4 linked regions of the Stegostoma tigrinum genome follow. The main gene of each other region encodes a partner of the protein of the gene in region 4 in a complex. Links are inferred from orthologs where the notes say so. Each region holds a gene or a part of one and is shown on either strand. Other genes may lie near its edges.

Region 1 (7,862 bases), on a different chromosome or scaffold from region 4:
CTGGAAGTTCAGATATATTACATCTACAAGATCCCCATTACCCACTTTGCTTGTTACATCTCTAAAGAACTCTAGCAAATTAATCCAACATGATTTGCCCTTCATAAAGCCATGCTAACTCTGATGAATAGTGTTTTGACTTTCCATATGTCCTCATATTGCTTCCTTGTTAGTTGATTCTAAAACTTTGCCATCAACAGATGTTATGTTAAGTGTTCTGTAATTTCCCACATATTGCCTTCCCCCCACCTTTTTGAATAAGCATGTTATATTAGCGTTTTATCCAATCTACTTGAATCTTTCCTGTATCCAGAGAATTTTGGAATATTGTTACCAATGGACCCATTATCTCCATTGCCACTTCCTTTAACACCCTTGGATGCAGGCCAGCAGTCTGGGGGACTTGTCTGTCATCAATCCTGATAGTTTGCTGAGTACCTTTTCCCTACTGATGTTGATTGTTCTAAGAACTACCCTTCCTAGTGTCTTTGACTTGCCTGTTCTAGTAGGAATGGTACTTTTGTCCTCCACCATGAAAAGCCTGTATGGATAGGAACGAGGACTGCCATGAGGATGAGCCGACTGACCACAGCACCATGATGCAGGAAGCCATTCAAGTTGGCGGGAAAGAAGAGAAACGTAGTTGTAATTTGAAGTAGTATAGTTAGGGGTATAGGCAGTGTTCTCTGTGACCAGGATTGAGAATCCCTAAGGTTATGTCACCTACCTGGTACTTGGGGTGGGTGATCTCACATCTGGGCTGCAGAGGAACTTGGAGTGGAAAGGGAAAGATCCAGTTGGTGTGGTCCATGTAGGTAACAATGACGTAGATAAAACTAGGACAGAGGTTCTGCTAAGGGAGTATGAACAGCTAGGAGCTAAATTAAAAAAACAGCCAAAAAGTTAATAATCTTTGGGTTACTACCTGAGCCACGAGCTAATTGGCACAAGGCCAATATGATTAAGCAGGTGAATGTGTGGCTTAAAGATTGGTGTGGGAGAAATGGGTTTGAATTCATGGGACATTGCCACCAATACTAAAGAAGAAGGGACCTGTTCCGATGGGCCGGTCTTTACCCAAATTACGCTGGGACCAGAGTCCTAGTCAATTGCATAACTAGGGCTATTGACAGGGCTTTAAATTAAGCCGGGGGTGGGGGGGCGGGGAGCTCAGTTGTAGGGGAAATTAGAAAACACAAATTAAAGGAGGAGGTAAGAGTGCAGGTTAGCAATGTGGCGGATGGTTACCAGATAATAAAGGTATGGGACAGAATAGGTGATTGTCTTTATGCACCAAGAATTTATAAAAGATTAAGGAAATTTCACAGTAGAACAAATTTAAAAACTTTGTATCTAAATGCACAAAGCGTTTGAAACAAAATTAACGAGTTAATGGCACAAATAGAAGCAAAAGGGTACAATTTGGTTACAGTTACTGAGACATGGTTACAAGGAGACCAGGTCTAGGAATTCAGAGTACTCAACATTTCAGTGGGATAGGCTGAAAGGAAAAGGAGGTGGTGTAGCTTTGATGGTGAAGGAAGGATCAGAGCTATAATGAGAAATAACATAAGCACGGGACATCAAGATGTGGAATCAGTCTGCATTGAAATAAGAAATAGCAAAGGGAAGAACTACTTGGTAGGAGTAATCTATAGGACTCCAAACAATGTTTCAGCAGTGGGGCACAGTATAAATCAGGAAATATTAGAGGCTTGTAAGAAAGGTATGGCAATAATCATGGGTGATTTTAACATACACATAGATTGGAAGAATCAAATTGGCAAAGGTTGCATGGAGGCAGAGTTCATAGAATGTATTAGAGATTGTTTCTTTGAGCAGCATGTTGTGGAACTAACCAGGGAGCAGGCTACTCCATATTTGGTGTTGTGAATTGAGGAGAGATTAATTGATGATATGATAGTTAAGGATCCCCCTAGGGATTGGTGACCATAGTATGATCGAATTAAAAATTCAGTTTGGGGGTGAGAAAGTGCAGTCCCACATTGTAATTGAGCCCACATTCATCACTTCTTCTGGAAGTTCATTCCACATGTGAACCATCGTCCATGTAAAAAATTTACATCTCATGTCTTTTTTAAAGAGTGCAGGGAAGTGGAGTTGAAATGCCCATCAGCTATGATTTAAATGGCGGAGTGGACTTGATGGGCCGAGTGGCCTTACTTCCACTCCTAGGTTTTATGGTCTTATGGTCTTAAATCTCTCTCCTCTCACCTTAAAAATGTGTCCCCTAGTCTTGAAACCCCCCACCTTAGGGAAAAGACACCTACCATTACCTCTATCTAATTCAAGGAAGTGGCCTTGTGAAATATATATTAGGTGCAGAGGGATAAAGTGTGCATCTTGCCTGACAATTGGGTTTGTTCAGATGGAGAAAGACCAAAAGAAGAGCTATTTCACACTGTAATTCTTAGTTCAAAAAGAGGAGAGAAGCTGCTACCTGCAGTCTCAGGGAGTAGCTTCATCAACCTGTTTGCCCTCTACAACCAATGAATTGCTGTCTCCTGTCTGTGTGTTTTCCCTGACTAATTACATTATGGATAATGGGAACTGCAGATGCTGGAGATTCCAAGACAACAAAATGTGAGGCTGGATGAACACAGCAGGCCAAGCAGCATCCCAGGAGCACAAAAGCCGACGCTTCGGGCCCAGACCCTTCATGAAGGGTCTGGGCCCGAAGCGTCGGCTTTTGTGCTCCTGGGATGCTGCTTGGCCTGCTGTGTTCATCCAGCCTCACATTTTGTTGTCTTAATTACATTATGGATTTGATTTAACCCTTTGCTTAATCTTGATTAGCTTTTTAGGGTATTCTGTGAGTCCTAAACTCAACCTTAACATTCAGTAAGCTCATGGCTTTAACCATTAGTCTTGAAAATGGATGGGCAGATTGGAAAGAAGATTGAAAGAATTTAAGGAAGATTTAATGGGACAGATGGATATGAAATTATGTGATAATGCCATACTTTTATTCTTTATTCATTCACAGAACAAGGACAACACTGGTTAGGCAGCATTTATTGCCAACCCCTAATTGCCCAGGGGGCAGTTAAAAGTCAACCCTGTTGCTGTGAGTCTGGAGTCACATGTAGGCCAGGTAAGGATGGCAATTTCCTTCCCTAAAGGATGTTGGCAAACTAGATGGATTTTTCCCAACAACCAACAATGGATTCATGGTCTTCATTAGTTCTTAATTCCAGATATCTAGTGAATTTGAATTCCACTATCTACCATGATAGGATTTGGGCCCCCAAAACATTATCTGGGTCTTTGGATTAACACTCCAGTGATAATACCACTGGCCATTGCCTCCCCTTGATTTGATTGGTTACATTACATTACATTGGGCGATAAAATGTGGTTTGAATTTGCACTCCTGGACTTGAGTACAAAAATGTAGGCTGACATTCCAGTGAAGTCCCAGAAAGTTCTGCACTGTTGAACATGCCTCTCTCAGATTAGAGATTAAACAAGCCCTTTCCCAGTTGGAAATCAAATATCTTAACAATGGCATTATTTTGTGGAGCAAGGAGTTATCCATGGTGTTCAGGCCAATGTCTGTTCCTTAGTGACCATCACAAAGGTAAGTTACCTGGTTGTTATCACAATGTACACTGTAAACCCTGACAAACAGAAATCTGCTGTTTCCAATCAGCAATTACAGTTCAGAAGTATTTCATTCACAGCAAATCACTTTGGGATGTTCAGCGGTCATGAAAGGTGGTGTATAAATGGCAAACTTTAAACATAAGTCAATACATGAGTTTATTTATGACAGAGACGGATAGGTTTGTGATCAGCAAGGGAATCAACAATTACAGGGAGCAGGCAGGAGAATAGTGCTGAGAGACATACTGGCCATGATTGAAATAAAAACCGAAAGAACTGTAGATGCTGTAAATCAGGATCAAAAACAAAGTTGCTGGAAAAGCTCAGTAGGTCTGGCAGCATCTGTGAAGGAAAACGCAGAGTTAAAGTTTCAGGTTCGGTGACCATTCCTCAGAACCTCCCACCAGAGAAGGGTCACCGGACCAGAAGCATTAACTCTTTTTTTTTCTTCACAGATGCTGCCAGACCTGCTGAGCTTTTCCAGCAACTTTGTTTTTGATGGCCATGATTGAAAGATCTTCCCCTATATTTTATAAAACTAAGTTTAGATAAGTTCGATTCTGCCCACTAAAGTGCCTAAGCAATTTGCACTGCAGCTTTAAACAACTATGTGGCAGACCTACCAATTTGTTGCCAAGACGCAATATTATTAAATAATAATCCTTAAAATCAGTGCTGATGTTGCCTTGGAGAACTGCATTAACCAATTGAATAAGGATCTTCGTTGGCCTAGGGGAATGGTATCTGCGTTCTTCAGCGTTGAGTGGACATCTCATGCTTAAAGCCCTCATCTCTAAGAAAGTAGTCATTCCTTTTTTCCCCTACTAGACGTTTTGTTTTATTAAGACATTTGCCTTTATTTATTGCAGATGAAGGGGAGACCTTTTGGTAAATTCACTAAATTTAATATCTGGAAATTAGTATTTCAGATACTTTAGTTCTTCAGTCTCTCAATTCTGCCACAAACTTCAAATTTTGAACTGATTTGAATATCTGAACTTGAGGACAGTAAAGACGGCAGATGCTGGAAGCAAGCGTCAGTAAATGTGGAGCTGAGAAAGCTCAGTAGTCAGACAGCATCCGAAGAGCGGGAAAGGCAACATTTCGGACCGAACTTTCCTGCTCCTCGGATGCTGTCCGGCCAGCTGTGCTTTTCGTTGAACATCTGAACTTGTCTCTGCTGCTGCAAATTTCTAATCTTCCGGGTAATGTTGAAGTGGTAATGGCTGATACTGAACAGCGCGTCTCAGGTCTTTCGCACTTCCATTGCTACTTAGTAATGGTACGTGCCTCGTACAATCCAGCCTGAGTGAGGTGCATTGGAGGTTGGATGTGTGTGTGTGGCTGATGAACGCTGTTTGTCTCTCTCTCTCTCTCTGTGCCCCTCGTGGCTGCAGTGTGAGCCGCATCATTCCAGCCAGTGCTCCCTTTCTCACACTGCCTGCCATCTCACGCCTCCTTTTCTGAAGCTGTTGCAGACATGGCGACAACATTGCAGCCGCTTACGCTGGAAAGAGGTAAGGGAACAGTCGTAATTTATCTGCACAATCCTCCCGAGTGTTTCCTCAATCTGTGACAAAATAAAATTGTAGTTTGGAAGGCTTTTGTGGCTTGAAGTGTGATTGGTCTTTACTTTTGAGTATTTATGTTCCCTGTAGCGTTGATGGACCACAGTGACGGTTTGGAGACAGATTTACTGATGCTGGGGAGCAATTTTTTTTTCCACTGAATGTGTTAAACGCGCAGAAGCCACTGATAGATTACATTTAGCAAGACATTTTCTTTTAACGGCAATTTCCGTTTGCTGTCTGCAAGACTTGAAAAGAAACAGATCAAAGGGAATATATTCTTCGCCCTTCTCCTCTCCTCCCTCCGGACTTGAAGAGATTGCGGCTGATGGAGGACGAAGTCGTCTTTAGGAAATTATCTTGCAGTCGGTTTGTTTGATAACTGGACCGACAGTGAAAATCAGAGGGCTGGGAGGCATCGGCTTTCTCTCTAAATGCGCCCTAGACAGTTCTGTTGCGAAATCATATCCCTGCCACGTTCAGTTGTTAAAATCAAGGTTTTAATATTTAAGCTGCGATTAAATATTTCGCGGAGCTGCTTGTTATATGTAACACTTTCTGTTGCGTGTAAGGAGGAGTGTGTAGTTGCAAGGGTCGGCTGCGTGTATCAACGAGATGGATTAGGGCATATTTGAAATAGCAATTCAGGAACGAGAACAAATAACCATCAGACTTTAATTAGAGATGAAATGAAAAGAGTTCATCTGATTTGCACGCTCTTTGAAGTTGCTATTTTAGATTAGTCTCAAACTGAGAGCCCTGGCGCTCATAACTAGTTACAACTAACAGTAATGACTTGTTCATGTAACACTTCACGTTAATACAATTTTGCACTACAACAGGAACATTGTGAAGTAAAAGTTTCAAGTGGATCCACCGATGTTTGTTTCTTTTCATAGACATTAGATTAAATGACCAAAAGTTTCCTCAAAAGGTAGATTTTAAGGAAGGACCTGATGCAGTTGGAGACTTGTGGACAAGGAATTCCAGCTTTTGGTACCTCAGCAACTCAAGGCAGACATCAATGGTGGAGCATTTAAATTTGGCAAAGCTTGAAGAGGCCAGAATTAGTGAAATGTGGATATGTTGGACCATTATGGGACTCAAGGAAATCAAAGTGGGAGGGAGGGATTATGACATGAAATAATTTAGAAACAAGGGGAAAACAATAATTTCAAGGTGCCAGTTAGCCAAGAGCCGGTGCAAGTCACCAAGGACAGTTTTTGGACAAATGGTACTTGGTGCAACTAAGAATGTGGGCAGAAGATATTTTGATAGAATCAAGTTTAGAGGGTAGAACGTAGGAAGCCAGTCAAGAGTACAATAGAGTAGTGAAGACTAGGTGTGACAAACACACAAGGGATATGGGCAAATGCTAGCAGATGGCATTAGGTTAATTTAGAATATCTGGTCAGCATGGAGGAGTTGAAATGAGGGATCTGTTCTCATGACTTACATATCTATGACTCTACAAATGATGGCCTCAACAGCAGAGAAGGGGCAGTATGTTCAGAATCCAATGATTTTACTGAGGTGGAAATAGGCAGTTATAGTGATGTGAAGCCCCTAAGTGCCAAACATGCAGTTGTTAAAGTTGAGTTTGGGCAATCGGGAGGAAGAAGAATGAGGATGACAAAGGAGCAGAATTTTTGGTGGAGACATAATTGATTCAGTTTTGTAAGTACTTAATGGGAGGAAATTTTTCCTCATCCATTTCTGGATGTCATTCAAGCAGTCTATTAGTGACGAGAAAATGCAACAATTGAGCAAGTTGATAAAGTCACAGGAGGTATGTGGAAACTGGCAATGCTTTTGTGTAATGTTGCCAAAAGACAGGATATAGAGATGAAACAAGGGCCAAAGATTGATCTTGGGATGCCTAACATCCTGGAGCTCAAAGACAAGCCATTGTAAATGATTCTCTGTCAATAACTAGACAGATAGGAATGAAAGCAGTTGAGTGCAGACCCAACCATCTTGATGACTTTAGAGAGGCATTGGAAAGGATTTGTAGTCAACTATGCCTGAGTTTGCAGAGAAGTGGAGAAGAATGAGGGATATTTTACTTTTGTCTCAGACCTGCATGATGATATTTGTGACTTTGATAGGAGTAATATTGGCACACTGCTGGGAAGAATTGATTTGAGGAATTTAAACATGAAGTTCTGGAAGAGATGTGCACATTTGGGAGATGAACTAAAAGAAAGAGAATCATTTAACAATGTCAGCTAACATGAGTAAAGAATTTGAGATGGGTTACAATTTACTGGAAGTAGGGTTGAGGGAAGAAGAGCTTCATGTGAGTAAGTGGAGGAGAAGCAAATTGATAAGAAACTAAAAACAGATTCAAATTTGGGAGGGGGACATTTGACGGAGTTTCGTCAGATGGGCTGGGGAAGGATTGGCAGTAGCAGATTAACTTAATTTCAGTGACAAGGAAGTCCGCAAATTCCACATACACATGGGTAAGACTGGAAGAAATAGGGCTTTCACAAGTTTGTTTGTGGAAGAACAAAGAAGTTGTGGTTTATCTTTGCACTCTGCAATAGATGATGGTGGTTTATATGGCCCAGCCAGATCTGGCAGTGAATGAATGTAATGAGAGAAAACCTTTTGCGCACAATGAGTGGGTCAGGACTGGAATACACTGCCTGGAATTGTGGTGAA
Region 2 (6,970 bases), on a different chromosome or scaffold from region 4:
TTGGGCCTGCTACACCATTCGGTATAATCATGCTGATTGAGCTCAATACCCTAATCCTCCCCTCTCCCTATATTCCTTGATCATTTTAGCCACAAAACAAAAACTATATCTACCTCCTTCTTGAAAACACAATGTTTTTGCCTCAACCACTTTCTGTGATAGTGAATTCCACATGCTCGTTACTCTATAGGTGAAGAATTTCTCCTCATCTCAATCCTAAAGAATACCCCTTATCTTTAAACAATGCCCCCTGGTTCTGGACTCCCCAGTCTTTCCTGCATCTAACCTCTCTAGACGTGGTAGAATTCTGTAGGTTTCAATGAGAGTCCCTCCCCATTCTTCTCAGCTCCACTGAATAGAATCCTAACTGACTCAATCTCTCCTCATATGTCAAACCTGCCAAACCTGAAATCAAATATAATAGGAACTGCAGATGCTGGAGAATCTGAGATAAAAAAAGTGTGGAGCTGGACGAACACAGCATCTCCCAGTCACGAACTATTTCAACTCCCCCTCCAATTCCTTAGACAACATGTCTATCCTGGGCCTCCTGCAGTGCCACAATGATGCCACCCATAGGTTGCAGGAACAGCCACTCATATTCCGCTTGGGAACCCTGCAGCCCAACGGTATCAATGTGGATTTCATCAGCTTCAAAATCTCCCCTTCCCCCACTGCATCCCAAAACCAGCCCAGTTCGTTCCCTCCCCCCACTGCACCACACAACCAGCCCAGCTCCTCCCCTCCACCCACTGCATCCCAAAACCAGCCCAGCTCGCCCCCGCCTCCCTAACCTGTTCTTCCTCTCACCTATCCCCTCCTCCCACCTCGAGCCGCAGCTCCATTTCCTACCTACTAACCTCACCCCGCCCCCTTGACCTGTCCATCCTCTCCAGACTGACCTATCCCCTCCCCACCCATACTCTCCTCCCCATCTATCTTCTCCTCTATCAATCTTCGGTCCACCTTCCCCTCTCTCCCTATTTGTTTCAGAACCCTCTCCCCATCCCCCTTTTCTAATGACGGGTCTAGGCCTGAAACATCAGTTTGTGTGCTCCTAAGATGCTGCTTGGCCTGCTGTGTTCATCCAGCTCCACACTTTCTTAACCCTGAAATCAATCTTGATAAACCTTCGCTGTTCTTCCTTCTACAGCAAGAATGTCCTTTCTCAGACAAGGAGATCAAAAACAGAACGATATATTTAGATTACCTACAGTGTGGACATCCCTGCTCCTTTACTGGAATCAAATAGTTTATCTTCTTTTGTACACTAGATTGAGAGAAGTGCAGGTAATTCACTCCTTCACCTGAAAGGTGTTTCTGTAGCCTTGGATGATGATGAGAGAGAGGTATCTCAGATCCTCCTTTCACTTTACAATATTCAGGTGCTTGGTTATGTCAGATACAGACTTGGAGTCATAGAGTCAAATAGCACAGAAATAGACCTCTCAGTGCATTAGTCCATACTGACCAGACATCCCAATCTAACTCAGTCCCATTTGTCAGCATTTGGCCCATATCTCTCTAAACCCTCCCATCCAGATGCCTTTTAAACGCTGTAATTGTACCAGCCTCCACCACTTCCTCTGGCAGCTCGTTCCATACACACACCACCCTCCGTGTGAAAAGGTACCCCTCAGGTCCCTTTTAAGTCTTTCCCCTCTCGCCTTATCCCCGTGCCCCTTAGTTTTGGACTACCCCAACCTGGGGAAAAGACCTTGCCTATTCACTCTCTCCATCCCCCTCATGATTTTGTAAAACTCTATAAGGTCACCCCTCAGCCTCCGACTCTCCAGGGAGTACAGCCCCAGTCGATTCAGCCTCTCCCTGTAGCTCAAACCCTCCAACCCCAGGAACATCCTTGTAAATCTTTTCTGAACTCCTTTAAGTTTCACAACATCCTTCCCATAGAAGGGAGACCAGATTTGCACACAGTACTCCAATAGTGCCCAGACTAATGTCCTGCACAGTCGCAACATGACCTCCCAACTCCTGTACTTAATGCATAGACCAATAAATGAAAGCACACTAAATGCCTTCTTCATTATTCTGTCTATCTGTGACTCCACATTCAAAGAGCTATGAACCTGCACTCCGAGGTCTCTTTGTTCAGCAACAATCCCCAGAACCTTGGGGTGGCATGGTAGCCCTGTGGTTAGCGCTACTGCCTCACAGTGTCAGGGACCTGGGTTCAATTCTAGCCTTAGCTGACCACCTGTGTGGAAAATACTTATTCTCTCTGCGCCTGTGTGGGTTTCCTCCAAGTTCTCTAGTCTTCTCCCACAGACCAAAGATGTGCAGGCTAGGTCAGTCAAAAGTAGTGCTCAGGGATGCCTAGATTAGGTGGGTTATAGGGGGAACGGGTCTGGGTGAGATGTTCTGAGGGTCAGTGTGGATTTGCTGGGCCAAAGGGCTTGTTTCCACACCGTAGGGATTCTATGATTTATGAACGTTACCATTAACTGTGTAAGTTCTGATCTGATTTGCCTTTCCAAAAATGCAATACCTTGCATTTATTGAAATTAAACAATATTTGCCACTCCTCGGGCCATTGTCCCAACTGATCAAGATCCCATTGTACACTGAGGTATCTTTCTTCGGTGTCCTCTACACCTCCAATTTGGTGTCATCTACAATCTTACTAACCATACTTCCTATGTTCATATCCAAATCATTTATACAAACAATGAAAGGCAGTTGACCCAGTACCAATCCTTGTGGCTGGTCACAGGCCTCCAGTACAAAAAGCAACCCTACACTACCACCCTCTGCCTTCTACCTTGCAGCCAGTTCTGTATCCAAATGGCTAGTTCTCCCTACATTCCACATGATCTAACTTTGCTAACCAAAAACCTGATGAAGGGTCGAGGCCCCGAAACGTCAGCTTTTATGCTCCTAAGATGCTGCTTGGCCTGTTGTGTCCATCTAGCTCCACACTTTGTTACCCATGAGGAACCCTGTTGAACACCTTACTGAAGTCCACATATATCACATCTACCGCCCTGCCCTCATCAATCCTCCTCACCTCTTCAAAAAAGTCAATCAAGTTAGTTAGATGTGATTTGCAAAGCATAAGGCCATGTTGAATCTCCCTAATCAGTCCTTGTCTTTCCAAATACATGTAAGTCCTGTGTGTAGGGATTCCCTCCAACAGCTTGTCTCAGAAAAAAGGGCTGCAACTTCAGACTGAGGTGAGGAAAAATTTCTTCACAGAGAGGGCTGTGAGGTACCTTATGTCTATTTAATGGTGAAATAGATTAAGACCATAAGACATCGGAGTGGAAGTAAGGCCATTCGGCCCATCAAGTCCACTCCGCCATTTATATCATGGTTGATGGGCATTTCAACACCACTTCCCTGCACTCTCCCCGTAGCCCTTGATTCCTTGTGAGATCAAGAATTTGTCTATCTCTGCCTTGAAGGCATCCAACGTCCCGGCCTCCACTGCACTCTATGGCAATGAATTCCACAAGCCCACCAGTCTCTGGCTGAAGAAATGTCGTCTCATTGCAGTTTTAAATTTACCCCCTCTAATTTTAAGGCTGTGCCCACGGGTCCTAGTCTCCCTGCCTAACAGAAACAACTTCCCAGCGTTCACCCCTTCCTAGCCATACATTATCTTGTAACCATACATTATTCTTGATCAGTTGGGGAATCAAACGTTAAAGGGAAAGGACAGGAAAAGTGCATGTAAGGGCTGTCAGATCAGCTACTATCCTGTTGAATGGTGGAGCAGTTTCAACGGGCTGAATGGCCTGTTTCAGTTCCTATTTCTTATGGTCAGCGGCCCCTGTGGCCGGGGACTGTCATCGCAGGACTGGGGATCGTGGCCAGAGGAAGGTGACAGCGGCCCCTGTCGCCAGACACCTGTCGTTGCAGGAGGCGTGGGAGGCCCCGCCCCTCACCGCGGTGGGCGTGGCTACAGCTCCGCCGGTGTTGATCACGTGTCGCTTCACGGTCAGGTGATACCGGCTCCAAGATGGCGGCGTTGGCTGAATCTTTGTCGCTGGAGAGAGGTGAGTGAAATAGCTGACCACCCTCAAACCCTGCTGCCGTCGCATCTCTTTCTCTTTCCATGGGGGCCACCGAGACCCCGCGAAGGACCGGCATTTCATTCCTGATCCCGTTAAAGCTATGAATGAGTGACACCGCTACCCGCATAGCCAATCAGAGCCTGAACTCTCTGATTGACAGCAGGGTGGACCAATGGGGATGAGGTGACTATTAATATATATAAGGAGACCGACCAATAGCGAAAGGGGACGGGATCTATGGCGACTTTTTCCAGAATTATGGCTGATATAGTTCAGTAAAATATCTTAAAACAAAAATATGTGTCAGTGTCTATTTTAGTAATACGTCTCATTCTTAAATCTGTAAATGTATATAATCAGCCCGGTCAATATACATGTTAACAATGTCTCATAACTTTATCAGCATATATTTGTCCCACACATCTTTCTATCAATCATCCTTCACTTATATATTTTGTATCTCTCAGACATATTTTTGAATAATTTTTGCACATTTCGTATATCTATCAAATTCTATTTCAGTAATACTGAAACATAGATAATTATATCCCTGAAAGATATGCGAGGTGTATCAGTGAATTCTATAATGTCATATATATGAAACATATGTCTGAATACATTTAGCGTTTACCCCTATAAAGTATAGGACACATTACTGAAATGCATGCTGATATGTATCTGAAAGATACAAAATGTGGGGAAATATGTTTTTCAGATACCTGAAATAAATTTTGATATACGTGTATGTTTCAGTTATAGCTATCAGTATATGTTTCAGCAATTTATCTGTATATTGCAGTGTATTTATATATAGTGTACATTTCACATGTGTGTCAGAGCATAGACAACTGAATTAATTAAAATAAAATCAGTAAAAGGACCACTTCTGCCACAATTGTGCTGCCTTGTCATTAGTGCCATAAGACATTCCCAAATTTTCTCACATCCAATGCTCAAAAATGCAGTAGCAAACAAAATCTTTAAGATAGCTAGTGGGGTGTTTAACAAGCCAATAACCAGTCATTCCAGAATAACTGACGATTTTGTATGGTCCACCCAACAACAACATGCCCTATTTAACATGTGCACAGGTAGGATAGGCAGGGGGCTGTTCATATTTTTTGGCTTCTTTATTCATTCATGGGATGAAAACATCACTGGCTAGGCAGCATTTATTGTCCATCCCTGATTGTCCCCAGGGCATTTAAGAGTCAACCAAATTGCTGTGCGTCTAGAGTCACACATAGGCCAGACCAGCTAAAGATGGCACTTTCCTTCCCTAAAGGACATCAGTGAACCGGATAGGTTTTTCCTGACAATTGACAATGGATTCACAGTCATAATTAAATTCTTAATTTCAGATATTTTATTGAATTCAAATTCCACTATCTGCCATGGTGGGATTCAAACCCTGGGCCCCCAGAACATTATCTGGGTTTGATACATACGTGAAATGTATACTATAGATAAATTGCGGTGTGGACTTGTTGGCCGAAGGGCCTGTTTCCACACTGTAGGGAATCTAATCTAATCTAATCTCTTGTGCTCCACCTGAGAAGGCAAGCAGCAGCAAGTTAATTATTGCAAGTGGCTGTCAGTGAAGCACGGGTTCCCAGACTGGTTTCAGAAGCCACTGCCACACACCAGAAAATAAATTAGACGGAGCAAGAATACTTCTGGCCAGGGATGGGGCAGAAATGTCAAGCTTGAACACTACCTGCAAGCCAATTGCTTAATTTCTGCTTTCTGCATGGTCTAGATGTTACCAGAGCGATCGAGCTGCTGGAGAAGTTACAGCGAAGCGGCAATGTTCCCCCGCAGAAACTGCAGACGCTGCAGCGAGTTCTTCAGAGCAAGTTCTGCTCTGCCATCCGAGAGGTCAGTACGCAATCAGCGACTATAGCTTTGCTCCCTAAATGCATGCGCTCATTAAACTCAACATCAGCAAATGTGTTTGTGCATTGTAGCTCTTTCTGCATGCGTCAGCCTTTGAAGGAAAGAAGCTTATTTGCACATATTACTGTTGCATTTGATTAAAAATGAATTTTACTCTTTCTAACATGTACAATTTTAACAAAGAGTGCAGTGAGAATTTAAAATTCACTACAACATGGAATAGTTGAGGTGAACCGCATTGATATATTTTTGGCGAAGCTGGTGAACATATATGGGAGAAAGGAATAGAAGGTTATGCTGTTAAGAGTGTGGGGTGCAGAGAGGGGTAGTGGGGAAGACCTCTGTGGTGTATAATATTGGCTTAGACCAATTAATATCAATTAGCCAGTTTCTGTGTTGTGAATTCTATGTAGCTCACCTGTCCAGATCAAGAAGTATGTTTCAAAATGTCCCCAGTCAATTCCGATAATCAAGTCTTTAATGAGAAATTATCAGACTGCAATTACACACATCATGAATAATAAGGTAGTTTTGCCCAAGCTTTGTATCTTCTGGCATCTTAGCCTGTACTACAGAGAATATTCCTACCAAATTTAACTGAAAAATATACTTGGACTTAATGTCCATTTACAGCATCAGTGAAGATTAGCCAGTAACACCTTGTTTCAGAGATAGTAGGAACTGCAGATACTGGAGAATCGGAGATAACGAGGTGTAGAGCTGGATGAATACAGCAGGCCAAGCAGCATCAGAGGAGCAGGAAAGCTGACATTTTGGGCCTAGACCCTTCTTCAGAAATGGGGGGAGGGGGAAGGGGATTCTGAAATAAATAGGGAGGTGGGGAGGTAGATAGCAGATGGATAAAGGAGCAGTTTCAGGGCCAAAGAGATTAAGCGAGAATTGCAGCGGGAAAGAGATCCACTGAGGTCTTCCTGGAGGGAGGAGGGTAACTTCTTCAAGTTAGGCATCCTTAGAAGAAGCTTTGCAGTGGAGTTAACAATGTTTCGGAGATATTAGGAACTGCACATGCTGGAGAATCT
Region 3 (6,861 bases), on a different chromosome or scaffold from region 4:
CAACATCTGAGCTTGTAGATGATGATCATGATCTGCTGGGGAGAAGATCTCGTTAGTTAGATGTGGGAGCAAAAGATCTTTCAAAATGCCTAGAAAAGGACAACAGACCAATTGAGGCCATAGAGGGTGACTGCTGAGACCATGTGGAGGCAGAGAAGAGGAAAAGTGTGCAGCTGTGATGAAGAAAGGTGGGAATGAATTTGTAACCTGTTAAAGGAAAGGGAAAAGCAATAACAGTTTGGATCAGACGTATATGACAGGAAGGGTAAAGAACCCAATTTGGCTAAGATAGAGAAAGAAAGAAGGCGAGTGCTTGCCTGAACACTGGTTGGGGGGTGAGAGGTGCGATGTGTGCCTCAGGTTGAAGAAGAAATAGGGCAGAAGCCAAGAATGGGGGAGAAGACTCAAGGTAGATGTGGGAAACGGCCAAAATAGAGGAGTATGTGGGAGGGAAAACAGAAATTGGGACTGCAAATTACTGGAATCTGAACTGAAAACAAAAAATAATGCTGGAAATCACAACGGATCAGGTAGCATCCATGGAGAGAAATCAAGCTAACATTTCGAGTCTAGACAGCACTTCATCAGAAGTAAAGCAGGGGCATGGGTACCAGAGAGAAGAGAAGATGATGGACAGAGCAAAAAATGGAGAGGGGGAGAAAAGAGAGAAGTTACTTGGTGACTGAAGCGGTCATGTTGAAAGAACAGTTTGAAAGCAATGGGAAAATAGTGGGAAAAAAAACGAATGAAGGGGAGCGTGACTGTCAGCAATAGGGAGGTGCAAAAAGGCAGGTGAAAAATCTATGAAGGGCAATTACAACATAATCCCTACTGTTTCCTAGTTCTCTCTCATTCAATGTTCATATTTTAAGCTTGGCTTCTTTCTGACAATTTCGCAGGGTCACTGTGTTTACATTCCATTTTCCAGTCTGAATCAAAATACTTTATAATATTCTTCAAAAGAAGCAATTAATGCAGCAACATGAATCAATATATGACCATGACTGCACTTGTATCCGCTTTTGGACAATATTTTGTATTGTGTTTAGTGCAAAATGGCTGAACCTGCCAAAACAACAACATTTCAGCATGTGCATTTTAATTCTTTCTGTTTGAGCTCCCTCACACCAGATACTCAATTGTTTAAAAAAATGCTTAGCTCTCCAGAACAGTTTAAAAGGAAGCAAAGTTCCTTTTTAGCCAAATTACTCAGTGGATTTTAATATCTAATTTGGTCATTTTAACCAATTTACTCAATAGATTTTAATAAATAAGTTGTTGGAAGATTGACAGACAAGTTGCTGTAATGTAAACTAATTATTATTAGTTGTATTTTGTTGCTAAACACTTTTGGATTCCAAAGATGATAATTACAACTCCCAACAAAAAAGCATAAAAATGCCAAAGTGAAAATATATATGTCCTGTCTTTGGATTAATATTAAGACTTCTGTCCTACAATGATCTTGAAAAATGTATTTTAAAACTTTGAGATTGATGGTTACATGGTCCATTTGGTTCAGTAGACTCCCATTGCTTCATTTGTAGAGAATACAATATCCTGACATATCTGACGTCCAAAACTACCCCGGGCGCTGAAAAACAATAATTCTTTTATTGACTGGCACATCACTTGTTGCAGCGTCCTAAGAAATAGACCAGCACTTTATAGTTAACATTTCTTTTCTCTCCCTCTGCCTTTTGATTTCGATTGTCTTATTAGCTTTCTCACACTACACCTAATGAGCCATCACACCTTTCTTGGATTGTAAAAATGCCTGAAGTGAAATCATGACAGGAAATCTAATTACCAATGTACCACAGCAAAACGCAGCATGGAAATTATGAGACAAAAGAACGCTCCAATTTGATACATGTTTTTTTAAAAGAAAACGCTACCGATATGCGCCTAACATGTCAATTTCTCTTTTCTGCTTCCTGTCTTAGGAAGCTGCGGTCCGTTCTCACCTCATGACACTTCGTATTGTTTCCCATGTATCATAACAAAATGATTAACGCAATCTGTAAAATTAAGCAGTTTTTTTTGTACTCCGAGATGTAATTTGGATATGCTGTGTCAGATGGAGGTAGCCCAAATAATATAACTAAATCCAACAATTACATCCAATTCTGGCGGGGAGTGAGAAAGGACAAAAATCCATTCTATTCCGTCTACAATATAACAGGTCCTTAAATTTAAACATGCTATCAGTATAGAAATACGATTCAACAAAGACAAGCAATCCTATTCAGTAATCAACTACTTTTATTTTGCAACCAAAGTATCAACTCAGTAAGGTATGAGGGAAAGGGAGTTCAATCACAGAGCGGTGAGTCGCCTTGCATTCATTATTGGAAAGGAGCTGCGGAGAACGGGAACTCTCGGTTTTATTTTAATTGATATGTTGGTGCCTATGGAGTCTGCAAAATGCAAAACCCTCAGACTCTCCTCCTAAATCTGCAACCTCCGATACAGTGATGGCTGCTTTTAAACCACTCACCTGGTTCCTGCACTCTTCCCTCTACCGTGTGTTGCAGATGCGCAAGGATTTTACTCACTGATGAAGACCAAGGACACAAAAGAGGGGGATAAGATCAGACATGGGCTGGGGGAATGGGTGGGCTTTAAATCTCTCCACGCGGTAAAGCAATGATGTAAGACCTTTCAGGATTGGGTTTTTTTTTGTCTTCACGCCAGCCTCTTAAAGACTGGGCTTCCCCGCTCCGATACATGACGAAGAAAATTCCATTAGTGCTCGGCAGCACAACGAGAGACAGACAGACAGAGCCCCACGTACCTGAAAGAACCCGCTGGGGCCTGAACCAGGCTGTGAAAGAACGCTGATCTTTCAGACGAATTCCCGTTTTAAAATTTAAAATACACGCGCGCCCAGGCGAGGAATAGCTGCCTTCTCTATGTCAGGATCTTTCTGTGTCAAGAGAAAGCCATCTCTATTGCCTCCCGTTAAAACAGCGCTGCCAGCGAAACCCTTGCCTTCTGGTACCCAGACCCTGCTGAAAGATGACGCATATTCTCTCTGCAAACTAAAGGAAATCAAGGGAAAAAAATGCATTTAAAAAAGGAGGTGTCGCAGCCCTTTTTCTCCTTACAGCGGAAGCAATGAAAAGCTCCCATATTTATCTTTCCAACCGCCAAAGCACGGCCCCTCACCTCAAAACACACCACCCAACCCCAAACAGCAGCCTGCCCCAAAATGACTGGTTTAATCTGGGAAGAGTGGCTGACGCTGTATTGGCCGTGCCCTGGACGCCTAGCGGCTCCCCTGAGTGCCCAGCCATGCTCTGACCGTAGGTATCTGGGGGCTTCCAAAGTGCCTGGCCATGTCCTGGGTGTCTGGCCAAGGCCAGGGTGTCTGGTCATGACCGGGATGTATGGCCATGCCCGGGGTGTATGGCCATGCCCTGCGTGTCTGACCGTGTCCGGGGTGTCTGGTCATGCCCGGGGTATCTGGTCATGTCTGGGATGTCTGGCGAAGCCCAGGGTGTCTGGTCATGCCCGGGGTGTCTGGCCAAGCCCGGGGTGTCTGACCATGCCCGGGGTGTCTGGCCACGCCTGGGGTGTCAGGCCAAGCCCGGGGTGTCTGGTCATGCCCGGGGTGTCTGGCCAAGACCAGGGTGTCTGGTCATGTCCGGGATGTATGGCCGTGCCCGGGTTGTATGGCCATGCCCTGGGTGTCTGGCCATGCCCAGGGTGTCTGGTCATGCCCGGGGTGTCTGGTCATGTCAGGGTGTCTGGCCAAGCCTGGGGTGTCTGGCCGTGCCGGGGGTGTATGGCCATGCCCTGTGTGAATGGCCATGCCCCGGGGGTCTGGTCATGCCCTGGGTGTCTGGACATGCTCGGGGTGTCTGGCCAAGCCTGGGGTGTCTGGCCATGTCCTGTGTGTCTGGCCAGGCCCTGTGTGTATGGCCATGCCCCGGGGGGTCTGGCCATGCCCTGAGTGTCTGGCCATGCTCGGGGTGTCTGGTTGTGCCCCGGGTGTCTGGCCAAACTTGGGGTGTCTGGCCATGCCCAGTGTGTCTGACCATGCCCTGTGTGTATGGCCGTGCCCTGGGTATATGGCCATGCCCCGGGTGTCTGGTCATGCCCTGGGTGTCTGGACATGCTCGGGGTGTCTGGCCAAGCCTGGGGTGTCTGGCCATGTCCTGTGTGTCTGGCCAGGCCCTGTGTGTATGGCCATGCCCCGGGGGGTCTGGCCATGCCCTGAGTGTCTGGCCATGCTCGGGGTGTCTGGTTGAGCCCGGGGTGTCTGGCCAAACTTGGGGTGTCTGGCTATGCCCAGTGTGTCTGACCATGCCCTGTGTGTATGGCCGTGCCCTGGGTATATGGCCATGCCCCGGGTGTCTGGCCATGCCCTGGGTGTCTGGCCATGTCCAGAATGTCTGGCCATGCCCTGGGTGTCTGGCCGTGCCCTGGCTGTCTGGCCATGCCCGGGGTGTCTGGCCAAGCCTGGGGTGCCTGGCCATGCCCTGTGTGTCTGGCCAGGCCCTGTGTGTATGGCCATGCCCCGGGGGTCTGGCCATGCCCTGAGTGTCTGGCCATGCTCGGGGTGTCTGGCCAAGCTTGGGGTGTCTGGCCGTGCCCGGGGTGTCTGGCCGTGCCCGGGGTGTATGGCCATGCTCTGGGGTGTCTGGCCATGCCCTGGGTGTCTGGCCGTGCCCTGGGTGTCTGGCCAAGCCCGGGGTGTCTGGTCATGCCCGGGGTGTCTGGCCAAGGCTGCGGTGTCTGGTCATGTCCGGAATGTATGGCTGTGCCCGGGTTGTATGGCCATGCCCTGGGTGTATGGCCGTGCCCGGGGTGTATGGCCATGCCGAGGTGCCTCGCTTCGAGCTGCTCCAGCGCCCACGTACTCAGCCGCACAATACCAGCCGGAGACGAGCCTATGCGGAGGATTTGTGTCAAAAGCAGGCTCTCGGCTACTATCTGTTGTATTTTCCTTCTCTCCCTGCAAAAGTATTGTCGCCGCTGAAGTGCCAATTCCCGGGAGGTAGGTAGGTGTGCATCGCTGTCATGTTATTTCCCCGTGCTCTCCCGGGGAGACAGCTCTAGTAAGTCTGACACACAAGGCTTTGCTCTTCTCGCCTTTTTAGGAGTGTGAACGCTGCCGTGTGTGGGCAGCTTGAAATACTTACAGCAGAATAATAACGTCTTTAATTCCGTGTTAGAAAGCAGCACCTCGTGAAGCGTTCCCAATTCGAGCACCCAAATTTCAAAATGTTTCCAGCTAAAACGAGTACTTATAAATAAATGTTGACGTGTACGATAATTTGCCTGATTTGACACAAAACTGTTGAAGCGACACGACATTTTCATTTGTTTAATGCCAGCACGTATGTATTTACTTGCTTACAACACGAGCTTTCAAAGCGTCGCAATCCTTTGCTGAAACATTTCTGGTAGGTATCCAGTCATGATTTTAGTGTATTGTAGTGAACTCTTAAGCACGTGTGCGCGGAAAGTGCTTCCGAAGACAATATGTTTTTTTTTAAACAAGCATTTACATTATTGTGACACATACATAGACAGATGGAAGTGTACTGGAGCTTGGGAATTCAATAAAACAAAACCTCGGGTAACGATGATAAATGAATGCTCGAGATTTCTGGATTGTACTCGGGTGTCTGCAGGGTGTACGCAATGTAAATGCGTTCCTGAAATTCCAACAGGTTCAACTTGAAATGGTTAGAGCAAGCTGTCACAGGTCATTTTCTTATCTTTGGCCATATAAGATATGCCAGAGGTGAGACTACATCTGTACATTTTCATACCTTGTTTCACTTTGTACTGTTTTCACATGCAAAGAGGAACCATCAAAACATGAAACTGGGAAGTGGTTAATTTCAAGGATGGGGTGGGGGTGGGAAGGTTTTGGAGGTACATGGTATGAATGAGTTAGGGACACCCCTTTAACTGTCTGTCCTGACGGAGAGTTATATTTAAATCAAAACATTAATTCTGTTTTTTCTCCACAGATATATGTTCAGCACCTACTATTTTTATTTCTGATTTCCAGCATGTGCAGCATTTTGCCTTTATTCACTTAGCTTGGCTCAAGAGCAAGAATGCCGACATTTTTGATATTAAAGTTGTAAGTTCAAGCCTTGCAGGTTCATTAGAACAAAGCAATATGTTAGACTAACATTCAGTGCCAGTGCTGACCCATCTGTGGCATTGTTAGAAAGAAGTTTCCTTTTGACTGTAATGCTAAACAGAAATGCTGTGTGCCGACTCATGTGGATAAAAAAGGTCAAGGCATTGTAAAGCAAAAAAGATGGGGAAATGTAAATTAATATTGACCAGATTGCAGTAACCTTTTTTCACTCCAGCACATTACACATCGAGATAGACAAAAGAGGGCATGAGTTGGGGAGACTTTATAGAACACTATCAAGGAAAAACAACTGATGAAGGGTCTAGGCCCGAAACGTCAGCTTTTGTGCTCCTGAGATGCTGCTTGGCCTGCTGTGTTCATCCAGCCTCACATTTTATTATTTAGACTCTACTGTTGTATTTTAACTCAACACTTTACTGAAGCAACTTGTGAAGAGATTGACAAACAAAACCTTAAATCTACACTAGCTATCTACTTCTGACCTGTGCTTCCAAGGATTCATTGTACCCTATCCACAGGTCCTGACCACTGTATTTGACCTAGATAACAAAGTGTGAAACTGGATGAACACAGCAGGCCAAGCAGCATCTCAGGAGCACAAATGCTGATGTTTTGGGCCTAGACCCTTCCTCAGAGAGGGGGATGGGGAGACGGTTCTGAAATAAATAGGGAGAGAGGGGGAGGCAGACCGAAGATGGATAGAGGAGAAGATAGGAAGAGAGGAGAGTATA
Region 4 (7,430 bases):
TATCAAATGTTTTTTTGTTTTTGAAAGGAAACAATGAGGAAAATTTAATCCATTACAACAAATTACTTAGTTCTAAATGTTTTCAGTTCTGATGAAAGTTCAGTGACCTGCAAAAGTTAACTAATTTCTCTCTGTATAGATGTTGTCTGATTTGTTGAGTACATTCAGGATTTTGAAAAAAAACAAAGAATAAAATGCATATGAATCTAAGCACCAAAAGTTGTTTTAGTTGACAAGAAAAACAACTTTAACCTTCTATGTTGTCTTTCGATGCAAGCCACACTCCAGTAGCACAGCAATCAACTTTCCCTTGAACGATTCTAGAGGCTTTGCTCCTGAAATCTGATTTCATTAATTGTTTCTTTAACTAAATTTGTCAACTCTGGATGCTTTTCTTTAGCCAAAGATGACTGAAAATCATTCCAAACTCAAAATGCTAAAGAACTAAATTAGATTTTAAATAAAACATCTTAACAAAAATTACATCTTTATCAAGATGAAGTTTTCCAAAACATTACATAGGTACACGACATTTAAAAAAAAACTTAAGGCCTTAAAAGAGAGGAGAGCATGTCGGAGATGTGAAATGATTTATGGAGGAGATCTCAGAAGTCAGGTTCTAAGCAGCTGAAGGCAATGGTCAAGAGTGGTGAAATGAAAGAATTGGCTTGTGTGTTCACCAATATCCATAGTAAATAGATTACAGAATGAAGCAAGGCTTTGAAGGGATTGGAACAGAATGATACTTTTACAACTCCTATGTCCCTACCTAAAATAGGTACTGTAAAACTGACTAATGCAGTTTAACTTAGCATCATGTGACCAAAGACACAACTGGAGCGCAAAATTTTAGTAAAAAGCATTATAGTAAATGCAATTGCAACTGTGAAATCAAAGAATGTGATCACAAATCTGTTTTATTTACAGCTATTTTGCTCTGCAATTGAATATAAAAGCAAAACTATTCAAGTCATTATACTTTCCTGTTAAGACAGGCTCATCTCAAAATATTTGTAACATCTATGTCAGTATCCTCTCAACAATTCATACACTATCTTCTGAGATTCAATTGCAAAAATGGAATTAAAAATCCATTTCTATATATTTAGTATTGCAATCTTCCAATTTCTCTCGGCTGAAATTACAGAAGTATGAATTTAACATAACTCAGTTGTTCAGTTGCAAGTTACACATATAATTTTAAAATAAAATATACAAGGTCACAAGTCTTTTAAAAAACCCTTCTTCAGGAATCTGAATACCCAAAAAGGGTTAAGTTACTGCTGTATTTTTTAAAACAATTTGCTTGAAACAAGAAATCTTGATAGATGCAAAAGGTAAGAATGGCATTTCTAAAACTACATGCTAAATTTAAAAGTTTGTGATACAGCCTGAGTTTTTAAAGATAACCGCAAAAGAAGCGTCATATTTGACTATTTACTTTCAATTACAGATATTTGAGATTATCTGTCAACACTATTCTGATTACCTAACAGGACTGAAAACATATTACAATGCATAGCCAAAAAAACCCAGAAAACAATCCACCATTTGAACATAATAAAGAGTAAATATTTGTTACGAAAATGTCTAAACAAATAAATGAGATACAAAAATGCTATGCTGATAAACATGCATAAACCACGTCCTGAACACTAGTGTTTTAAAATAATTAAGAATACAAAAGAACAATGACCCATCCTACAAGGAGAAACTCTTGATCAAATGTTTATCTTGACAATTAAAATCTTGTACGTTGACAAAACATTCTTTCCTTATTTAACTGAAAATCACTGCATCAGAACGACTGCTTCGCTGGAGCATTAGTGCTCTCACAACACGAAAATTGATCTTCAACCTGACTTAAGAAAATGGATTATATCATACAACGTTAAACGATAAACTTTCTGAATCAAAACAATACATAAATATAGTTGATAATTAATGCAAATTTCTTGGTTTTGCGGGAAACAGCCGAAACTACTCATTATTTCCTGGATAAATGTCTGATGCTCCTCTCCTTCAAAAGGAGGCACCGTATCCTTCAGATGCAAGAGCAGCTTTATCAATATTTCAATTTCAATTCATACATTACAAAGTAAATAATATCCACAATGGGCTGTACCACTTTTACATAAAATTGTAGCAAATAATGAGTTGTTTCCTAACGCATAAAGTTGATTTCTAAATGTTATTTGTTTAAATTTACTTCCAGAATTATTTTCGTTATTATGCAAAAAAGCTAAATAAATCCTTCGGCCGTATCCTGTAATCCACTGGAAACAGAGGGAGGGCCCGTTAAGTAAAACCACGAATTAAACCACAACCATAATATTCTGGCTTCAGTTGATTTCTACTTTAATTTAAATATATATATTTTTTAAAAAAAACACACTTACTTGCCAATCACTTCACACAGCTCATATACATCTTCAAACAGGACGTCGTCGTCGGCCATAGTCGATAATTAAAATCAGAATTTTGAGAGGGAATTCAAAGTAAAAAAAAACTCCCTCTAATGTGGAAATTGGTCTTTAAAACAAAACGTTTCCCGTGTAGATCAGTTAAAGAATTCAGGACACAATGAATGAAAAAGATTTTTTTTCCTCCAGACAGCACCAGCGAAACGAAGACTGATTGATAGTGAAGCAGCCGGGTAAAGCAGACTGCTGGGCTACGCTTGGCGCTGCCCTCCTCCTGGCGACCCCACCTTCTCTTTTTCACTGCCTTAAAAAAAATCCACAGTCCAAGGCTTCTGTTCTCTGTATAGAACTGCTCCCTGGAAATCCAGGCCAAAATCCGGGAATAATTCGCAATGAAAGAAAGGTCTTAATATATTACAGTCGGCGCTCGTCGGACCATGTTAACACTTCGCCCTGTCGTGCTGTAGGCTGCTAGTGTCGGCCCGTCCCCTGTCGCTGCGCCGCTACAGTTTCAGGCGGCGGCGGTTGGTCAGGGAGGTAACCACCAATCAACGCCCGCTCCCCGACTGCCCGCACTCTGGCTGCGTCAGCACTGAGCTCGCGGCGAGATGGAGGTACAGTGTTTGCGCATGCGCTTGAAGGCCAAACCGGCCGTGGCCAAACCAGTGCTGGGCATGCGTTAACCTGGATGGCTGCAGCACCTGCGTGTAGCGCGTGCGCTCACGCGTCGGTGGTTTTAGCAAATTACACCTTGTCGACAGTTTACACATCAAAACGGCAGGTTTTAACCCAAACAAAGGAAACTGTGCTCCTCGTTCTAAAATAGACGACCCAGTTTGAGTACATATTTTATGTGTTAAAATGATTTATTGTATTACATGTCTTGGTGAATAAACGGGAGTGATAGAAGATTCGGTTGAATATAGTACTGAAAAGCCAGTGGCCACTGCCTTGCTCTTCCAGGCCTTCGCCGTCACACAATTACATAATTTTAATACTATCCTGGTCAATCTTTGTATTGAAGACTACATCAATGTGAGTTTTCTTTCCTAAAATCACTGATGCCTTTCATTCATCCTATCCGCGCTGACCTATATTGTGTCCTGTTTCCCCAATTTCAACAGCTTTAAAATTCTCACGTATTTAAATCCAAGCATGCCTCTCCCACCTATCTGTAAAGTCACCATTGTAACTCAGGTAATGCAAAAGCCAAATTAGTCCACATTGTGATACTGACAAGATTGCCTATTCCTAGTTTTGTATTCGTCAATGCGGTGTGCGTTTCGCTGACTAGACCAGCATTTATTCGCCATCACCCGCGAATCGCCACTTTCCTTGGGCTGAAGGTAACACCCCACCCCACGCCACCCCGTGATGTTTGAAAGAGAGTTCCAGGATTCTAACTCAGTGACAGTGAAGGATCGATCAAGAATATGTGTTGCTTGGACGGGAACTTGCAAGATTAGGTATTTCCATGCATTGGCTGTCTTGTGCGTCTGTGTGGTGGAGGTCATGGTTTTGAAGATGCTGTTAGTCCACATTGTAAAGGGTACAAACTGATGTCACTGAGCAAATATGGGGGAGGAAATGAAGCGTGAAGGTGTTGAATGGGCTGCCAATCAAGCAGACCACTCTATCCCAGATACTATTAATCTTCTTGACTGTTGGTGGAGCTGTACCTCGAGGCCTTCTTGTGGCACAGTGGTAGTGTACCTATCCCTGGACTAAGAGGCCCAGATTCAAGCCCCACCTCCTCCAAAGGTGTGTAATAACTTCTCTGAACAGGTTGTTTAGAAAAATTGGTTGGAGCTGCACCTATCCAGGTGAGCAAAAAAACTGTTCTCTTACACTCTAATTGTGACTTCTAGTTGGTGATAGGCTTAGGGAGACAGGAGGTGAAAAGATTTATAGATTCATACAGCACAGAAACAGGCCCTTCAGTTCACCTCGTCCATGCCAAGCAAGTTTCCCCAACTAAGCTAGTCCTAGTTGCCTGCATTTGGCCCATATCCCTCTGAACCTTTCCTGTTCATGTACCAATATAGGCTAATAGTGTCACTCAGTATGTAAACAGACCCTTCAGTCCAACTAATTCTGGGCTCCTAACCTGTCCCTACAGCCACAGAGTTTATATAGCTACTCTGGCTCAGTTTCTTTTTGCTGGTAACTCCCAGCTTGTACATAGTGGAACATTCAACACAGGTAATGCCTTTGAATGTCAAGGGGAAATGCTTAGATCAGTTACCTCCAACCTTTTTAAATGCAAGATCACTTTATGAATTTACCCTGAAGAAAATATAGAATAAAAAGTTTATTTTAGTGCTACTGAACTCTGTCTTCACTCGTCAAGTTTCGGTGTCTGCACATTATATGCCTGTGCCTTGATGTCTGGCTTGTACTTTGAAACAGCTAGTCATATACAGTCCATCAAATGATTATTTGTGAGGTAGATGCAAAACATGTACTTGAGCAAAGAGGTCCTTCTGCAGCTGCACAGGGCCCTGGTGAGACTGCACCTGGAGTATTGTGTGCAGTTTTGGTCTCCATATTTGAGGAAGGACATTGTTGCTATTGAGGGAGTGCAGTGTAGATTCATGAGGTTAATTCCTGGAATGGCGGGACTATCATATGTTGACAGATTGGAGCGACTGGGCTTGTATACACTTGAGTTTAGAAGGATGAGAGGGGATCTGATTGAGACGTATAAGATTATTAAGGGATTGGACTCTCTGGAGCAGGAAGAATGTTTCTGCTGATGGGTGATCCCAGAACCAGAGGACACAGTTTAAAAATAAGGGGTAGGCCATTTAGAACAGAGTTAATGAAAAACTTCTTCATCCAGAGAGTGGTGGATATATGGAATGCTCTGCCCCAGAAGACAGTGGAGGCCAAGTCTCTGGATACTTTCAAGAAAGAGATGGATAGAGCTCTTACAGATAGTGGAATCAAGGGTTATGGGGATAAGGCAGGAACAGGATACTGATTGTGGATAAGCAACCATGATCATAATGAATGGTGGTGCTGCCTCGAAGAGCCGAATGGCCTACTCCTGCACCTATTGTCTATTGTCTATTCATCCTTATCATTTGAAAGAATGCTGATTCACAGAGGAATAAGGAGTCAAACTAAGCTTCCGCATTAAAAGCACAGGATATCAGGAGTGGGTAATTTTTTTGCTTATGTCCTTTGATCTGACTTTCAAAGTCATTTTCCCGGTAATTATCTCTGTAGCAACATCATTGCTTGTAAATCAAACACCTGATGGAATTTGGTAGCCTTCTACCAAAGTCTACTTGAAGGAATGATTTGAGACAAATATGATGGTTTGTTCCATTACACCTAATTCCTGAAATCATATGTTGAATTCTTCTACTAACTTCGTCAGAAGTGCACTGAGGTTTTCTGGTTTTTCCTTGTATTTTTGTCTAGTATTTTCTCCAGGCTGGGAAAGTGCTGCAGTGTATTTTTCATTTGGGATAACCACAGACCCAATTTCAATTTGAGCGCCTTCACAACCCTAGTTATAAATGCTAGACTCTGTCTGTTTCCTGCACTTAACACCTCATTCAGTTTTTGACATTATGTCTGTTAGGAACCTGAAGCAAAATAACCATGTACTGGTTGACAGCTCATTGCATGTTAATGCAGTCATAAAACTGTAGTCACAGTCCTTGAGACCCTGATGTAGCTATTGAAAGATGTCTTCAGACAAAGATTCCATTTGGCCTGGTCCTGTGGAAACACCAAGTGACATGCTCTGGATTGCAATAATTATTTCTTCCTTGTCCTTAAAGTCTTTGAATAAAGCGTCTGTGGCTGCAGTCATTGTTTCTTTAATTACTTTGCCATCAGGCAATAATTTCCTGCACTTTACCAGAAGATGACAAATGCAAAATTCTGTTCAGTGCAGGCTTTGCTGCTGCCTTAGAAAAACATGACTGTAGAACTTTCAAAAGGCTTTCAGCTCACTAATATTTTTTTTATCTGAATCTGTTTAAGTGAAAACTGTCCTTGAGTTCACTTTGCATCATTGAGTGGTGTTGAACCAAATTCCCCTTTTCATTTATTAATATCCACTTATGACACATGAACATATGAGGCTAATGCTCATCTTTTACAATTGTTAACAGAAATTTATTTTCCCATTTTTCTGGTTTCTTTTTATATGTTCCCAGTTTATTACTCCTTCTTATTGCTTCACCATGTAATTCAAGACATTACTCTGCTGCTGGTCAACCCGTGTCTCTGGAACATTCAGAATGTTGCTAGCTGCTTTCTAATGTAGTGGCACCGCAAGTCATTTTTGATGTTGTGATTTGTTTCCAGGGCCCATGATTGGCTTGCGTTATTCAAATTTTGGATGTGGGCGCAACAGCTCCCATCCTAACTTTTCATCCACGTGCAGATAAATAGCTGAGGAAAATAAACTCAGGCCTGCAGGGAACAGGAAGAAAAATGGGACCAGCTGAGCTGCTGCTGCAGAGAGTTCGCACAGACATCATGCTCCTATACATCTAGTACTTTAATATACAGACTTCACACATCTGTTCCTAATATATTTCTTATTCATTTATTTACAATACTATCACAGAACATACTTTTTTTTGAAATGAAAGTCGTTCTGGACCAAACTGAAACACAATGCAACAAGCAAGAAAATCCTGATAAAGACATGAACTTTTCTCTACAGCTTCTGGAAGCAGAACTCATAGAGAGGCATAGTAATCAACATGCTCACTGTGAGGAATTACAGGCAGGCGGTGAGATGGATTGTCAGAGACATACATGACAAGGAAACAAGGGTGGCCAGTGAGATCACCTGTCGGAGACAAGGACTGTCGGAAATCATTGTATTAGACATCGCAAGCTTAGATATTTTTCCTTTTCGAGGTTATCATTATCTGGCAATTGTGTGATGCAAATGTTACTTGCTGCCTATTCTACTTCTGGGGTCTACATTGAATGTGGTGCATCTGATTTCATTTGTTTGTTTAGGCTCCAGTGTGG

Evidence for each region.
Region 1: caska (region 4) and lin7a share a complex: the UniProt entries of both Homo sapiens proteins name them as parts of the brain-specific heterotrimeric complex. The link is inferred for Stegostoma tigrinum from reciprocal best matches to the Homo sapiens genes CASK and LIN7A.
Region 2: the proteins of caska (region 4) and protein lin-7 homolog B are in contact, whole or in part, in an NMR structure (PDB 1Y74), measured with the Mus musculus proteins. The link is inferred for Stegostoma tigrinum from reciprocal best matches to the Homo sapiens genes CASK and LIN7B. Residues at the interface, in NP_001271432.1 of Mus musculus: Ala405, Arg408, Ala409, Glu411, Val412, Glu415, Ile416, Tyr419, Glu421, Asn422, Asp424, Ala425, Glu427, Leu428, Ile431, Leu432, Gln434, Phe437, Ala439, Leu440, Leu441, Thr443, His444, Val447, Ala448; in NP_035828.1 of Mus musculus: Leu10, Asp13, Val14, Arg16, Ala17, Leu20, Leu21, Arg23, Leu24, Ser27, Glu29, Leu30, Pro31, Pro32, Lys34, Leu35, Ala37, Leu38, Val41, Leu42, Ser44, Phe46, Cys47, Ile50, Arg51, Tyr54.
Region 3: the proteins of caska (region 4) and nrxn1a are in contact, whole or in part, in a crystal structure (PDB 6NID), measured with the Homo sapiens proteins. The link is inferred for Stegostoma tigrinum from reciprocal best matches to the Homo sapiens genes CASK and NRXN1. Residues at the interface, in NP_001354650.1 of Homo sapiens: Pro500, Met501, Gly502, Ile503, Thr504, Leu505, Lys506, Ala516, Arg517, Val549, Gln553, Leu556; in NP_001317021.1 of Homo sapiens: Lys468, Glu469, Tyr470, Tyr471, Val472.

The regions. Positions count from the first base shown.
Region 1 is NC_081371.1:40,158,678-40,166,539, reverse strand, and holds the start of lin7a (protein lin-7 homolog A), read left to right. Parts: upstream 1-4,858; 5' UTR 4,859-5,107; coding exon 5,108-5,144; intron 5,145-7,862. UniProt on the Homo sapiens protein: Plays a role in establishing and maintaining the asymmetric distribution of channels and receptors at the plasma membrane of polarized cells.
Region 2 is NC_081391.1:19,469,118-19,476,087, forward strand, and holds the start of protein lin-7 homolog B, read left to right. Parts: upstream 1-3,958; 5' UTR 3,959-3,979; coding exon 3,980-4,016; intron 4,017-5,793; coding exon 5,794-5,912; intron 5,913-6,970. UniProt on the Homo sapiens protein: Plays a role in establishing and maintaining the asymmetric distribution of channels and receptors at the plasma membrane of polarized cells.
Region 3 is NC_081362.1:50,233,475-50,240,335, reverse strand, and holds the start of nrxn1a (neurexin 1a), read right to left. Parts: upstream 3,008-6,861; 5' UTR 2,798-3,007; intron 2,644-2,797; exon of another isoform or gene 2,501-2,643; intron 1-2,500.
Region 4 is NC_081365.1:43,395,452-43,402,881, reverse strand, and holds the start of caska (peripheral plasma membrane protein CASK), read right to left. Parts: upstream 3,015-7,430; 5' UTR 2,459-3,014; coding exon of another isoform or gene 2,400-2,458; intron 1-2,399. UniProt on the Homo sapiens protein: Multidomain scaffolding Mg(2+)-independent protein kinase that catalyzes the phosphotransfer from ATP to proteins such as NRXN1, and plays a role in synaptic transmembrane protein anchoring and ion channel trafficking.